Linked DNA regions of Arabidopsis thaliana. The protein of the gene in region 2 purifies or fractionates together with the protein of the main gene of each other region. This does not show direct contact. Each region holds a gene or a part of one and is shown on either strand. Other genes may lie near its edges. The genes, in order: ndhH, CRR6 and ndhI.

What was found.
Region 1: the proteins of CRR6 (region 2) and ndhH purify together in Arabidopsis thaliana (affinity purification with mass spectrometry, with the first as the bait; one study listed by BioGRID). This does not show direct contact.
Region 3: the proteins of CRR6 (region 2) and ndhI purify together in Arabidopsis thaliana (affinity purification with mass spectrometry, with the first as the bait; one study listed by BioGRID). This does not show direct contact.

The regions. Positions count from the first base shown.
Region 1 is NC_000932.1:121,511-127,003, reverse strand, and holds ndhH (NADH dehydrogenase subunit 7), read left to right. Parts: upstream 1-3,811; coding exon 3,812-4,993; downstream 4,994-5,493. Other genes in the region: rps15 (ribosomal protein S15), read left to right, coding at 3,442-3,708; ndhA (NADH dehydrogenase subunit 1), read left to right, coding at 4,995-5,493. UniProt on the Arabidopsis thaliana protein: NDH shuttles electrons from NAD(P)H:plastoquinone, via FMN and iron-sulfur (Fe-S) centers, to quinones in the photosynthetic chain and possibly in a chloroplast respiratory chain.
Region 2 is NC_003071.7:19,612,978-19,618,660, reverse strand, and holds CRR6 (chlororespiratory reduction 6), read right to left. Parts: upstream 4,005-5,683; 5' UTR 3,921-4,004; coding exon 3,725-3,920; exon of another isoform or gene 3,699-3,724; coding exon of another isoform or gene 3,647-3,698; coding exon 3,102-3,646; 3' UTR 2,892-3,101; downstream 1-2,891. Other genes in the region: DEG2 (DEGP protease 2), read left to right, coding at 1-289; AT2G47935 (uncharacterized protein), read right to left, coding at 443-606, 940-1,072, 1,112-1,411; AGP26 (arabinogalactan protein 26), read left to right, coding at 1,032-1,442; NET3C (Kinase interacting (KIP1-like) family protein), read right to left, coding at 1,900-2,486, 2,568-2,658. UniProt on the Arabidopsis thaliana protein: Required for both formation and activity of the chloroplast NAD(P)H dehydrogenase (NDH) complex of the photosynthetic electron transport chain. May function in assembly or stabilization of the NDH complex.
Region 3 is NC_000932.1:118,277-121,754, forward strand, and holds ndhI (NADH dehydrogenase subunit I), read right to left. Parts: upstream 1,487-3,478; coding exon 968-1,486; downstream 1-967. Other genes in the region: ndhG (NADH dehydrogenase subunit 6), read right to left, coding at 101-631; ndhA (NADH dehydrogenase subunit 1), read right to left, coding at 1,571-2,100, 3,181-3,478. UniProt on the Arabidopsis thaliana protein: NDH shuttles electrons from NAD(P)H:plastoquinone, via FMN and iron-sulfur (Fe-S) centers, to quinones in the photosynthetic chain and possibly in a chloroplast respiratory chain.

The DNA.
Region 1 (5,493 bases), on a different chromosome or scaffold from region 2:
CAATCAAAAAGAGAAGAAACAAGACGGATAGAAATTGCAGAAACTTGGGATAGCTTCCTATTTGCTCAAATAATAAGAGGTTCTCTCTTAGTAACTCAATCAATTCTTAGAAAATATATTATATTACCTTTATTGATAATAATTAAAAACAGTGTCCGTATGTTATTATTTCAATTTCCCGAGTGGTCCCAGGATTTAAAGGATTGGAAACGTGAAATGCATGTTAAATGTACTTATAATGGGGTTCAACTATCCGAAACAGAATTTCCAAGAAACTGGTTAACGGATGGTATTCAGATAAAAATCCTATTTCCTTTTTATCTTAAACCTTGGCATAAATCTAAATTTCAAGCATCTCAGAAGGCTCGACTAAAAAAAACAAAAGACAAAGGAGAAAAAAATGATTTTTGTTTCTTAACAGTTTGGGGAATGGAAACCGAACTACCGTTTGGTTCTGCCCAAAGAAAGCCTTCTTTTTTTGAACCTATTTCTAAAGAATTAAAAAAAAGAATCAAAAAATTAAAAAAAAAGTCTTTTGTGGTTTTAAAGATTTTCAAAGAAAGAGCACCCATTTTCCTAAAAGTCGCAAAAGAAACTAAAAACTGGATTCTCAAAAACTTTATTTTTATAAAAGGAATTTCAAAACGAAATCTAATTCCATTATTTGGCCCGAGAGAAATATATGAATTAAATGAACCTAAAAAAGATTCAATAATAAGTAATCAGATGATTCATGAACTATCTGTTCAAAATAAATCCTTGGAGTGGACAAATTCTTCACTTAGCGAAAAAAAAATCAAAAATTTGATTGATAGAAAAAAGACAATCAGAAATCAAATAGAAGAAATTTCAAAAGAAAAACAAAACTTAACTAATAGTTGTACCAAACTGCGTTATGATTCTAAAATAATTGAGTCATCAAAAAAAATTTGGCAGACATTCAAAAGAAAAAATACCCGATTAATTCGTAAATCCATTTTTTTTTTTAAATTTTGCATCGAACAAATGTCTATAGCTATTTTTCTAGGTATCATTAATATTCCAAGAATTACTACACAACTTTTTTTTGAATCAACAAAAAAAATTCTTGATAAATATATTTACAAGAATGAAGAAAATGGAGAAAAAAAAAAAAATACTCTTTATTTTATTTCGACTATAAAAAATTTAATATCCAATAAAAAAAAAATGAGTTATGACCTATGCTCTTTATCACAAGCATATGTATTTTACAAATTATCACAAATTAAAGTTAGTAACTTTTGTAAATTAAAGGCTGTTCTTGAATATAACATATGCATAACATCCTTTTTTGTTAAGAATAAAATAAAGGTTTTTTTTCAAGAACACGGAATCTTTCATTATGAATTGAAAAATAAAACCTTTTTGAATTCCGAAGTAAATCAATGGAAAAACTGGTTACGAAGTCAGTATCAATACAATTTACCCCAGATTTCATGGGCTAGATTAGTAACCCAAAATTGGAAAAATAAAATAAATAAAGATTCTCTAGTTCTAAACCCAAGTTTAACCAAAGAGGATTCATATGAAAAAAAGAAATTTGATAATTATAAAAAACAAAAATTTTTTGAGGCCGACTCATTATTAAATCCAAAACATAATGTAAAAAAAGATTCTATATATAATCTTTTTTGCTATAAATCTATTCATTCTACAGAAAAAAATTTTGACATGTCTATAGGCATTGCCCTAGATAATTGTTTAGTCTCTTCTTTTCTAGAAAAATATAATATTCGGGGTATGGGGGAAATTCGGCATAGAAAATATTTGGATTGGAGAATTCTTAACTTTTGGTTTACAAAAAAAGTAACTATTGAGCCTTGGGTTGATACTAAGAGTAAAAAAAAATATATTAATACTAAAGTTCAGAATTATCAAAAAATTGATAAAATAACGCAGACGGATCTTGCTAATAAAAAAAGAAACTTTTTTGATTGGATGGGAATGAATGAAGAAATACTAAATCAGCGTATAACAAATTTTGAATTTTTTTTCTTTCCGGAATTTTTCTTATTTTCTAGTACATATAAAATGAAACCATGGGTCATACCAATCAAATTACTTCTTTTAAATTTTAATGAAAACATAAATGTTAATAAAAAGATCATTCGAAAGAAAAAAGGTTTTATACCATCAAATGAAAAAGAATCCCTTCGATTTTATAATCTGAATAAAGAAGAAAAAGAATCGGCCGGTCAAGTAGAACTTGAATCAGATAAAGAAACAAAAAGAAATCCCGAAGCAGCTCGATTAAACCAAGAAAAAAATATTGAAGAAAATTTTGCAGAATCAACAATAAAAAAACGTAAAAATAAAAAACAATACAAAAGTAATACAGAAGCGGAACTTGATTTATTTCTGACAAGATATTCGCGTTTTCAATTGCGATGGAATTGTTTTTTTAATCAAAAAATTCTCAATAATGTAAAAGTATACTGTCTCTTGGTTAGACTAAACAATCCAAACGAAATAGCGGTATCTTCTATTGAAAGAGGAGAGATGAGCCTAGACATTCTAATGATTGAGAAAAATTTCACTTTTGCAAAATTAATGAAAAAAGGAATATTGATTATTGAACCTGTGCGTTTGTCTGTACAAAACGATGGACAACTTATTATATATAGAACCATAGGTATTTCATTGGTTCATAAAAATAAACACAAAATAAGTAAAAGATACAAAAAAAAAAGCTATATTAATAAAAAATTTTTTGAAAAATCCATTACAAAATATCAAAACAAAACTGTAAATAAAAAAAAAAATAATTATGATTTCTTTGTCCCTGAAAAAATTCTATCCCCTAAACGACGTAGAGAATTTCGAATTCTAATTTGTTTCAACTTAAAAAAAAAAAATGCTAGGGATACAAATTCAAGATTTGATAAGAATATTCAAAACTTGACCACCGTTTTGCATAAAAAGAAAGATCTTGATCTTGATAAGGATAAAAATAACTTAATTAATTTAAAATCCTTTCTTTGGCCCAATTTTAAATTAGAAGATTTAGCTTGTATGAATCGCTATTGGTTTAATACTACTAACGGAAATCATTTCAGTATGATAAGAATACGCATGTATACGCGATTTCCAATTCCTTAATCATAAATACTTTTTACTATATATAATAAGTTACGGTATATGAAAACAACTATATGCACAAATATGAGGGATTGTTTTAAATTAAATCTTTATACATGAGATTAATTTAATCAATCACATAGATACCAATTATAGCGGATTCATAAATAAATTAACAGAATCCTTCTTTTTGAGATCTAAATTTAGATTTTTTTCTAAAATGAAGAATTAAGAGGTTGATAATTAAATTAAGATCCTTGTACAAAAAAACTACCATTATTATTACTGATCAGTAAAATTAATATCTTTCAATTCATATTAAAAGGGGAAGGATTTCTTTTTATGATAAAAAATATAGTCATTTCATTTGAAGAACAAAAAGAAGAAAGCAGGGGATCCGTTGAATTTCAAGTATTTAGTTTCACTAATAAGATACGAAGACTTACTTCACATTTGGAATTGCACAGAAAAGATTATTTATCTCAGCGGGGTCTACGAAAAATTCTGGGAAAACGTCAACGACTGCTGGCTTATTTGTCAAAAAAAAATAGAGTACGTTATAAAGAATTAATTAATCAGTTGAATATTCGGGAATTAAAAACTCGTTAAATTCAAAAATTGTGAATTAGTGAATTTTTTAGATCTTGAATTTTTTGATAAACTTCTTTATTCAGAAATCTAATTCATGCCAGAACGAATCAAGGAAAAACTTATGAAGAGACCAGTTACAGGAAAAGATCTTATGATAGTCAATATGGGACCTCACCACCCATCCATGCATGGTGTTCTTCGCTTAATTGTTACTCTAGATGGTGAGGATGTTGTTGACTGTGAACCCATATTAGGTTATTTACACAGAGGAATGGAAAAAATTGCAGAAAACCGAGCAATTATACAATATTTACCGTATGTAACGCGATGGGATTATTTAGCTACTATGTTTACAGAAGCAATAACAGTAAATGGACCAGAACAATTGGGAAATATTCAAGTTCCTAAAAGGGCCAGCTATATCAGAGTAATTATGCTGGAATTGAGTCGTATAGCTTCTCATCTGTTATGGCTCGGCCCTTTTATGGCAGATATTGGTGCACAGACTCCCTTTTTCTATATTTTCAGAGAACGAGAATTTGTATATGATCTATTCGAAGCTGCCACCGGTATGAGAATGATGCATAATTTTTTTCGTATTGGAGGAATAGCGGCTGATTTACCTTATGGTTGGATAGATAAATGCTTGGATTTTTGTGATTATTTTTTAACAGAGGTTGTTGAATATCAAAAACTCATTACACGAAATCCTATTTTTTTAGAACGGGTTGAAGGAGTTGGGATTATTGGTGGGGAAGAAGCAATAAATTGGGGTTTATCCGGACCAATGCTACGCGCATCCGGAATACCATGGGATCTTCGTAAAATTGATCGTTATGAGTCTTACGATGAATTTGAATGGGAAATTCAATGGCAAAAACAAGGAGATTCATTAGCTCGTTATTTAGTACGACTTAGCGAAATGACAGAATCCATAAAAATTATTCAACAGGCTCTGGAAGGACTTCCAGGGGGTCCCTATGAGAATTTAGAAAGCAGGGGCTTTGATAGAAAAAGGAATCCAGAATGGAATGATTTTGAATATCGATTCATTAGTAAAAAACCTTCTCCTACTTTTGAATTATCAAAACAAGAACTTTATGTAAGAGTTGAAGCTCCAAAAGGGGAGTTGGGAATTTTTCTCATAGGAGATCAAAGCGGTTTTCCTTGGAGATGGAAAATACGACCACCGGGTTTTATTAATTTGCAAATTCTTCCTGAACTAGTTAAAAGAATGAAATTGGCTGATATTATGACGATACTCGGTAGCATAGATATAATTATGGGAGAAGTTGATCGTTAAAATGATAATTTATGCAACAGCAGTCCAAACTATAAATTCTTTTGTTAAATTGGAATCTTTAAAAGAGGTCTATGGACTCATATGGATATTTGTCCCTATATTTTCTCTTGTATTGGGAATCATAACAGGTGTACTAGTAATTGTGTGGTTAGAAAGAGAAATATCTGCAGGGATACAACAACGTATTGGACCTGAATACGCCGGCCCGTTGGGAATTCTTCAAGCTCTAGCCGATGGGACAAAACTACTTTTCAAAGAAAATCTTCGTCCATCTAGAGGAAATACTCCTTTATTTAGTATTGGACCATCTATAGCAGTTATCTCTATTTTACTAAGTTATTCAGTAATTCCCTTTAGCAATCACCTTGTTTTAGCGGATCTCAATATCGGTATTTTTTTATGGATTGCCATCTCAAGTATTGCTCCTATTGGACTTCTTATGTCAGGATATGGATCAAATAATAAATATTCTTTTTTAGGTGGTCTGCGAGCTGCTGCCC
Region 2 (5,683 bases):
AATTCCAATAAGAAACATCCATCACTTGGCACATCTCATTGATATGTGCAAAGATAAGTATCTAGTTTTTGAGTTCGAAGACAACTATGTTGCTGTGTTGGAGAGGGAAGCTTCAAATTCTGCTTCCTTGTGCATCCTCAAAGATTATGGAATTCCCTCGGAAAGATCCGCTGATCTGCTCGAGCCATATGTTGATCCAATAGATGACACCCAAGCGCTTGACCAAGGTATTGGAGACAGCCCTGTGTCAAATCTGGAAATCGGCTTTGATGGACTGGTGTGGGCATAAAATATTCGAAAAGGCGTCCGCAGATGGAAACCACTGAAAGCTCATACAGCTTCCCCGAACATATGGGAAAGCTTTCAGCTTCATCCTCATTCATAAGGTCTTGTGCTGCTCAAACTCAAAGTTTAGTGAATTCTTTCTTCTTTATTCAAACCTCTATGGATTGAGTTTAATAGAAAGTTGGCCATGAGAATGCTCGGCCATTGTGTTCAGATGAATGTATACTGCTAAAAGCATTGCCAGAATCTCGACAAAAGTCAACAAATTATTCAGTGTCTGATTTTCTATGAGAAAATGAAATGCAGCAATGTCTTCTGTGACTGTAATATATATATATATATATATATATATATATATATATATCAGTGAATCGGTGCTTCCTTTTTACCAATTCTATTGTCTTCATCAACTGACAATAAACCTAAGATTGTTGCAGATCAGGAAAAAGCATAGCAAGTTAAAAGCTGGCACTCATTTCTATATTTGAGGGAAGAGCTTCACGGGACTCTACTTTGCTTTTTTAATAACTTTTTATTCACAAAATCAAAACATACAAACACTCCGACACAAATCAAAACCCGACAAATCCATATTTCATGTGCTCTGCCCTAAGCCAGAGGTCCACAACCAAACCCACCAATCTTGTCTTTTACCTCCTCTATAGCTGTATACCTTTTTCTTCTTCAGTTTCTTAAGGTCTCTCAGAAACATTCTCAGAGAAGCAGGAGAGACATTCACAGTAACCATGTCCGTCTCTCTGTTCACTGCCTTCACCGTTCTCTCACTCTGTTTACACACTTCAACATCTGAGTTTCAGCTGTCCACCATATCAGCTGCACCTTCGTTCTTGCCTGAAGCTCCATCGAGTTTCTCAGCTTCTACCCCGGCCATGTCTCCAGATACCTCTCCCCTGTTCCCTACTCCAGGTTCAAGCGAAATGTCTCCTTCCCCGTCGGAATCGTCTATCATGCCGACAATCCCCTCAAGCCTTAGTCCACCAAACCCAGATGCTGTCACTCCTGATCCTCTGCTCGAAGTTTCTCCAGTTGGATCTCCTCTTCCAGCTTCTTCCTCTGTTTGTTTGGTCTCATCACAACTCTCATCTCTGCTTCTTGTCCTACTCATGTTGCTACTAGCTTTCTGCAGTTTCTTCTAGTAATCATATAGAAACAGCGAGTAAGCAGCACTCTACACAATATCATCAGCAGAAACCAAATATTCACAAATGTATTCTTTCTTACTCTCTGCTTCTTCTGAATTTTTTTCATGTAATATTAATATAGCTTCTTCTAGTGTTCGTTCGTGTGAGATTTGCTCATAAAGCACTCTGCAGTTTGGGCTAGTGCGCAGTTGTTGTACTTGGTAGCAGTGATAGTGTGTGTTTTTTGTGCCTCAAAGTCAAAATTGATTGATCATCCAATTATGTATCACTCATCACATGTCCTTGTCTGAAACTGGGTTCTTGTGATTGAACAAATCAGAACAGCATGCATTATTAAGTAGGATAATTACCGGTTATAATACAGCACGGAAAGGACAGGATATATCTTGATAAACAGTGAAATGAACCACAGAAAATATCGAAGCTAAGCTCATGAGGTAGATGAGCCAACCTAAAGGACCTTGTTGCCATCGCACATAATGTAAAACAGCTTCCCAAAGAACTTGTTTAGTGGCTTGAACTCCAAAACGGTGCGTTGCTTGAGAGAATGGTGGGCAAGGCGTCTCTTGAGGCTCAAGTTCTCGTCTTTGAGGGTCTCAAGGGTTAGAGAAAGCTGTCTGATGACCTCTCTCTTCTCTTCGTCCTTGTCTAAGAGCTGTTTCCTCAGAGCATCAGTCTCTTCGATCAGCTTCAACCTTTCTTGTTCCAATTGCCAAGTCTCATCTTCTTTGCAATCAGCTGCGGAGGCATCATCTTGAAGGGGGTCTTCAATCTCAGAATCGGCATCTTCAAAGTGAGAATTGCTGTCACAAACGGACTCCATGGATTGTTGGGGAACCTTAGCGGAGCGAGATCCATAGTGGTCGGAAGACTTGAGGTGGTCGAAGTTCACGGCTAAGGAACGGTGAGCTCGATAAAAGTCTTCGACAAAGCTGATAAGCTCAGGACGTTTCTTGTAGTAAGTCTCAGCACGCTGAGCGAAAGAGTCTGCGTTTCCGTCTAACAACTTCAACATTGCCTTTGTCTTTGCATCAATCTCTGCACCACAAACGTTTCACACCAAAAAGTTGGCAAAAACCACAAAACATAGAGAAGAACTGAGTGAGAAAAAGAACCAACCAGCGAGTGTTGATTGAAGCCATTGAGAATGTTTGGAGCTCTTGTGGCTCTCGAACCACCACCATCTCGATTTCTCCTCTTCTCTAACCATTTCTTTTTGTGTTCTCTTCCCTAACACAACAACATATCCCAACAGAACCAAACAATTTCAACCAAAAAAAATAATCTATAAACGCAAAGGAGACCTCAATGCTTAGCTACTCAAGAATGAGAGATTCCTAAATACCTTGTTCTTTTTTCCAATTGTATTCTGAGAGCGATATAGACTAGAGAGAAATGAGAAAGATACGAATAAACCAATTGTTGATTTGTTTTTCAAATTTTGAATGGGCTCTCTCTTCTCTTCAGATATTCGAGATTTTGAATTTATTTTCCCAGATTTTACGGCTATTAATACAACTTATCCAATGAATATTCGCCACGTGTGTATCAAATACCCAAAAAAATCCTCTTAATTACCATCCCCAGGCCTTTTTCATTGTAAGCCCACAATTAGGCCCACGTATGTAATTTGAAGATAGAACACATCGTTTTTCATTCATTGTGATCGATCAAGTCGAAGAGCTCATCGCCGATACCGAATCCGAGCATCCTGGCCATGTCGCTCGTCTTCAACCTGGGCTTTGGGACGCCGTGCCGTTTCAGCCACGGATAAACCACAAACACTTTGTTCATTACGAAAAGCTCCAACGCCTCCGGATTGAAAACGACACCCATTCTCAAGCTCATCTGGTGCGGCACTAACATGGCTGCGTATCGAGCAAGTTCTCCAGCTCGCCAGTCCAGCAGCAGAGGCAGCCAAGGGTACATCGCGTCGAGCCTCACGAACCATAGTCTTACGTCCGGGTACTCTGACAGCTCCCGCGGATCCCCGGGGTCTTCTCTCTTGTAATTGATGGTGAATCCGATGGTTCGATCCAAATACCGTTTTGGTTCAGCTACACCAAAATCATCAGGCGAGGTTATGCCGATGGCTCTCTGAAACGGGGATAGGTCAAGCCGCCCAATTGAGTCGTTGTCGATCACTACTTCGTACCGGCCGGTCGTTGGAGGCATCGGAGGTTCCACTTTATCTGAATCTGCTACGCCTTTCACATAATTAATTAGTAGCAGCCTTTTTTTATTTATCATTCTGAATCAATTGAGCAAGTACGAACCTTGGTCATTCTCGAAGGCAGAGATGTCGAAATTGCCAGAAGGATTGAAGGCGACGGAGACTGCTACGTCTTCTGCCCTCCTCTTTCTTACACACCACCCGGCGGTCTCCAACGCCGGCAATTGAACCACTGGGAACAGCGATACGTGTCTCGGCGATGGGATAAGCCACGGGAGAAGAACTGCCTTTGTTGCCATTCACAGACGCTATCTCTCTTTGTGTCTTAGTCTTCTTTTTATCCTCTTCTTTTGGCCTTTTCTTCATTTCTTTCCATTTTATCCTTTTTTCCTTCACCGCACAAATACATATATTTTGCTGTCTGTCGTAAAGGTTTCAAATGTTAAGCAGAATGCATTTCTTCAATCGTTCAGAAAAATGAAGAGCTCTCTTCTTTAATGTGGAATGTTTTCAACTCAAGTCAGCCTCCTCGGTCTCATGTAGATGTAGGCATTGTCGAATCTCCTTCACTGTTGGTGAGGTGTTTCAGGAGCATCTGCAAGCTTGACCGTCTCTGATCTTCTTCTTCGCCATTGCCCCTTGCAAGCAGTGAGGCCTTCTTTGTCTTCCAAGGTCGTACCGGGTCAAAGGAGTTGCACAATAGAGGCTTTGTAAGTAAGTAGCTCAAAGACTGAGAATTCTGCTCACTTTAAAGTTTAAATAGCTATGCAATGGAACATTCCTTGGCAAAGATAAGTCCCCAAGGTCTCTACCATAGCAGTGGCAAAGATAATATGATTTGAGAGAAAAAGCTCACCTATGCAATCTAGTAAGATGAACATAAGCGTCAAAAGATCCACTTCACAGTGTCTTAGAGTGCCTGAGAATGAATATCTATTATAAGGCCAAATGATGATTTTGTTGTAGTGATTAACTTCTTTATGCTGTGTAGGCATAGTTAAGATCGAGACCCATTTAGACTTCAATTCGGCCCATATAGACGAAAAAAAGGATTCTTACGGCCCAATAATGTTATTTTTTATAACTCATAACACCTTTTTTTTTTTTTGACGTTTTCCTTTGTTTGTTTGTTTTTGTTTACGTTTTGACCAAATCAGTAGTTGTCCAAATCATTATTTATATCCAAAGAAGGAAGATTTCATCTTAATTATATAAAGTAAAACGTTAAAACACCTTTTGGCCCATTAAAGCGGCGAAAGTGCTGTGATCACGGCAACAAAAAGCTTACTCTGCTTAGTTTTGTTTTGTCAAATACAATTGCGTAAAAAGAGGAAAAACGGAAAGAAAGTTTCCATTAAACCAAAGTATTCTATTTGTAAGTCTTCTTATCTTCAGATGTCTATTTTATATGATGAATTTTGAACAAGATTTTTTAGAATCTAGTCAGTTACCATGTTTATTTCGGTGAAGTTCCAACATTTCTAGAAACATTACCAAAACAAAAGATAACAACGAGAAAGAGAAATACATAGAAAGCACACTTTAATTTCGTTATCATGTGGCAGCTTAATTTATTTCTATAATTGAAAAGCTTTCTTTATATATATCCCTTAATTAAAAAGGCAGAAGATAAATCGGTAAGAATACGGTCAATTAGAATGAAATGTAAAACTTTGTTACCAAATTTAGTTTGAAGAAAATAATGATAAAATAATAAAATGACTGACTGACAACAATTAAAAATGAGACAAGGAAGGAAGCGATTGGATAACACAGAGACAGACATACATATTCACTCCCCCGTCAAACCCTAAAATCTATTTCCTCTGACCGCTTCTTCTTCTGTGGGTTGTAAAAGGCATTCGCTTTCGAGTGTTGGTTGTCGATTTCGATGCCCCAATCTGGGACCTGGGTACTGTTCCCAAGCTCCACCTGGATTCTTATTGATGTGAAGCTCGTATAACTTGTGAATCGATGCGGCCTTTTTAATTTCGCTTGGGATTTCTTAGGTATTTATTCTCTGTATCCGGATCTCTATCTATAATCGGATCTTGTACCTATT
Region 3 (3,478 bases), on a different chromosome or scaffold from region 2:
TAAAATATGAAATAGTATTCAATCAAATTTAATTGAATGAACGGAAAAAATCATAACATACACAAAGTTTTCTTTGGTCTTTAATAATTTAGAACATTTTTTATTGACGAGCCACAGAAATTGCACCTATCAAAGCAACTAAAAGAATTATTGAAATGAGTTCAAATGGCAGAAAAAAATCTGTTGATAAATGAATTCCTATTTGTTGACTATTACTTATTAAATCTTGCTCTAGAATCTGGTTTAATTTTGTAGTCCAAATAACCCCGTACCATGACGTATCGAGAATAGTAGACATTAATAAAAAAAGAATAGTTGTACAAACCAACGAAGTAATCCCATTCCCAATGGTCCACAGATTGAAATCTGTGGAATATTCTGAATCATTCATGAACATCACAGCAAATATGATTAAAACATTTATGGCCCCCACATAAATAAGGAGTTGTGCAGCAGCTACAAAATGGGAATTTGATAGAATATACAATAAAGATATACAAACAAGAACAAATCCTAAGGAAAAGGCTGAAAATATTGGGTTGGGAAGTAATACCACTCCCAGACCCCCTACTAGAAGACCGGATCCCAGAAAAACTAAAAGAAAATCATGTATTGGTCCAGGCAAATCCATTATATTATTAAAATAAGAAAAAATCGAAATCCTTTTCATGACCTTATTAATTTAACCAGGAAATTTGTTTTTTATATGTTTCTAAATAGAGTGAAATTAGAATCTAATGGATATGAATTGATGTAGATACAATTATTAGTATTAGGCTGTTTTCTCTTTTTTTTTTTCTAAAGTGTATTTTCAACCTATCAATTTCAAGAAAGTAATTACGAATATATTATATTAAAAGAATGTGCCTTAATACTTAATATTATTATTATTATATAAATACAATACAAGTTTTTAATTAAATTCTTTATATAAATATAATTCAACAACTTGGAATTCTTTTTTTAATCAAATTAAAGGGTTTACCCCATTTTTTGTTTGAGGTGAATTCCAAATTGTTCGAATAGTGTAATCGTCAATTACTGACATTGGTAAACGACCCAAAGCTATTTGATTATAATTCAATTCGTGACGATCATAAGTGGAAAATTCATATTCTTCAGTCATTGACAAACAATTTGTTGGACAATACTCAACACAATTACCACAAAATATACAAATTCCAAAATCAATACTGTAATTAAGCAATCGTTTTTTTCGAATATTAGTTTCCAATTTCCAATCAACAACAGGCAAATCTATAGGACATACTCGAACACATACTTCACAAGCAATGCATTTATCAAATTCAAAATGGATTCGACCGCGGAAACGTTCCGATGTTATTAATTTTTCATAGGGATATTGAATAGTTACAGGTAAACGATTTGTGTGGGATAAGGTAATCATGAAACCTTGACCAATATACCTTGCAGCTCGTAGGGTTTGTTGACCATAATTCATGAACCCGGTTATCATAGGAAGCATATTGTAATTATCTCTGAATAATTTTATCTTTGTTTCTGTCTCTTGTTTAAAACAAATAATGAATATATTAGATTCATTTTAAATTTAGAGTGAAAAGAGTTGGAAAGAAGTGGTTAATAATAGATTACCAAGGGAAATAGGTAAAAGAAATTTCCATCCAAGATTTAATAGTTGATCCATTCTTAGCCTAGGTAAAGTCCATCTTGTTGCGATAGAAACGAACAAAAACAAATAAGTTTTAGCTAATGTAATAAAGATACCAATTGTTGTTCCAAAAATTTGATCCCTTTGAAATAGCTCCAGAATAGATATATACGGAATAGAAATATTCCAACCGCCTAAGTATAGAACTGTTACAAATAATGAGGAAATTAATAGATTTAGATAAGAAGCAACGTAAAATAAACCAAATTTTATACCTGAATATTCAGTTTGATAACCTGCTATTAATTCTTCTTCCGCTTCTGGTAAATCAAACGGTAACCTCTCGCATTCTGCTAGGGAAGAAATTAGAAAAATGATAAAACCTATAGGTTGACGCCACAAATTCCATCCCCAAAAACCATATTTTGATTGTGCCTCAACTATATCAACTGTACTTAAACTGTTAGATAATCCTAGTCGGCGAGAACATTACTATTTTCACCGCTATTTCAGAACCGTACATGAGGTCTTGGCCTCATACGGCTCCTCGGGGGCCATAAATAAATCTAAGGACCAGATTATAATTTAGATGGATATGATGTGTTCTAAAATGGATTAAATATATCTGGGGTCCCGAATTATACCAATGGAATTCTGTCTGCTCAAATTCTAAGAATAAAAAACGCGCTTCGGAATTCATCTCACCCCTTTACAAATTTGAATTTCTATTTGTTGAGTAATAACTTAACCCTTTAATAAAAAACTCCTAAAAAAAAAAAGTATTTAAGCCCATCGTGGTTTTCGATTACGAAAAATAATTAGACATCCTATTTTTTTATTATTCATGACAGAAATTCGATTTTATTTTCGAAATATATGAAAAAAAAAAGAGCCTTGTTTCGTTCCTATTCTTCTTTCTTTTTTAGAAAAAAGTTGGTAGACTTATAAAAAATAAAGGATTATTTCGTTTCTGATAGTCATTACATTTGTCGGTGGATAGGAGCATACTCTGAATCGGAATCTTGGGGAGTACTGTCTGATCATTTCTACTAATTTAAAGCCCCAATTAACCTTCTTTTTTTTATCTTATGTTAGGCCTAAATATCCTTTTCAATTTGGTTAATCTCTATTACAAATTCTTTGTGTATTTTGGTGTTTCTAACCATCCACTCACTTTTACCTAATTGCCGCTCACTTTGTAATACATGTATGTTAATCTATATAACTGATAGTGAAAACGTCATCCGGTTACCGGTTAATATATTTAACCCGCTTCAAGTCAGGATGACTAATCAACCAACCTTGGGGTAAAGTGATTCTTACACTTATGTTTATTTCCGTTTAACCTTTGTACATAGGAAATGAGACTCATTTTTCGTTTTACTGCAAATTTCAGAGCAGTTTTTTTTTCACTCATATATAACTATCAAATTCCTTTTATTAATTATTTCGATTAATTCGAAAGATAAATATATATTCCGTTTTTTAACTGATTCGTCTAGAAGAAACGGAATAGTAAAAATAAACGTTTCTGTTTCAACGAATCGCACGTAGAGATATTGATAAAACACATAGAGTTAATGGTATTTCATAACTAATCGATTGGGCAGCAGCTCGCAGACCACCTAAAAAAGAATATTTATTATTTGATCCATATCCTGACATAAGAAGTCCAATAGGAGCAATACTTGAGATGGCAATCCATAAAAAAATACCGATATTGAGATCCGCTAAAACAAGGTGATTGCTAAAGGGAATTACTGAATAACTTAGTAAAATAGAGATAACTGCTATAGATGGTCCAATACTAAATAAAGGAGTATTTCCTCTAGATGGACGAAGATTTTC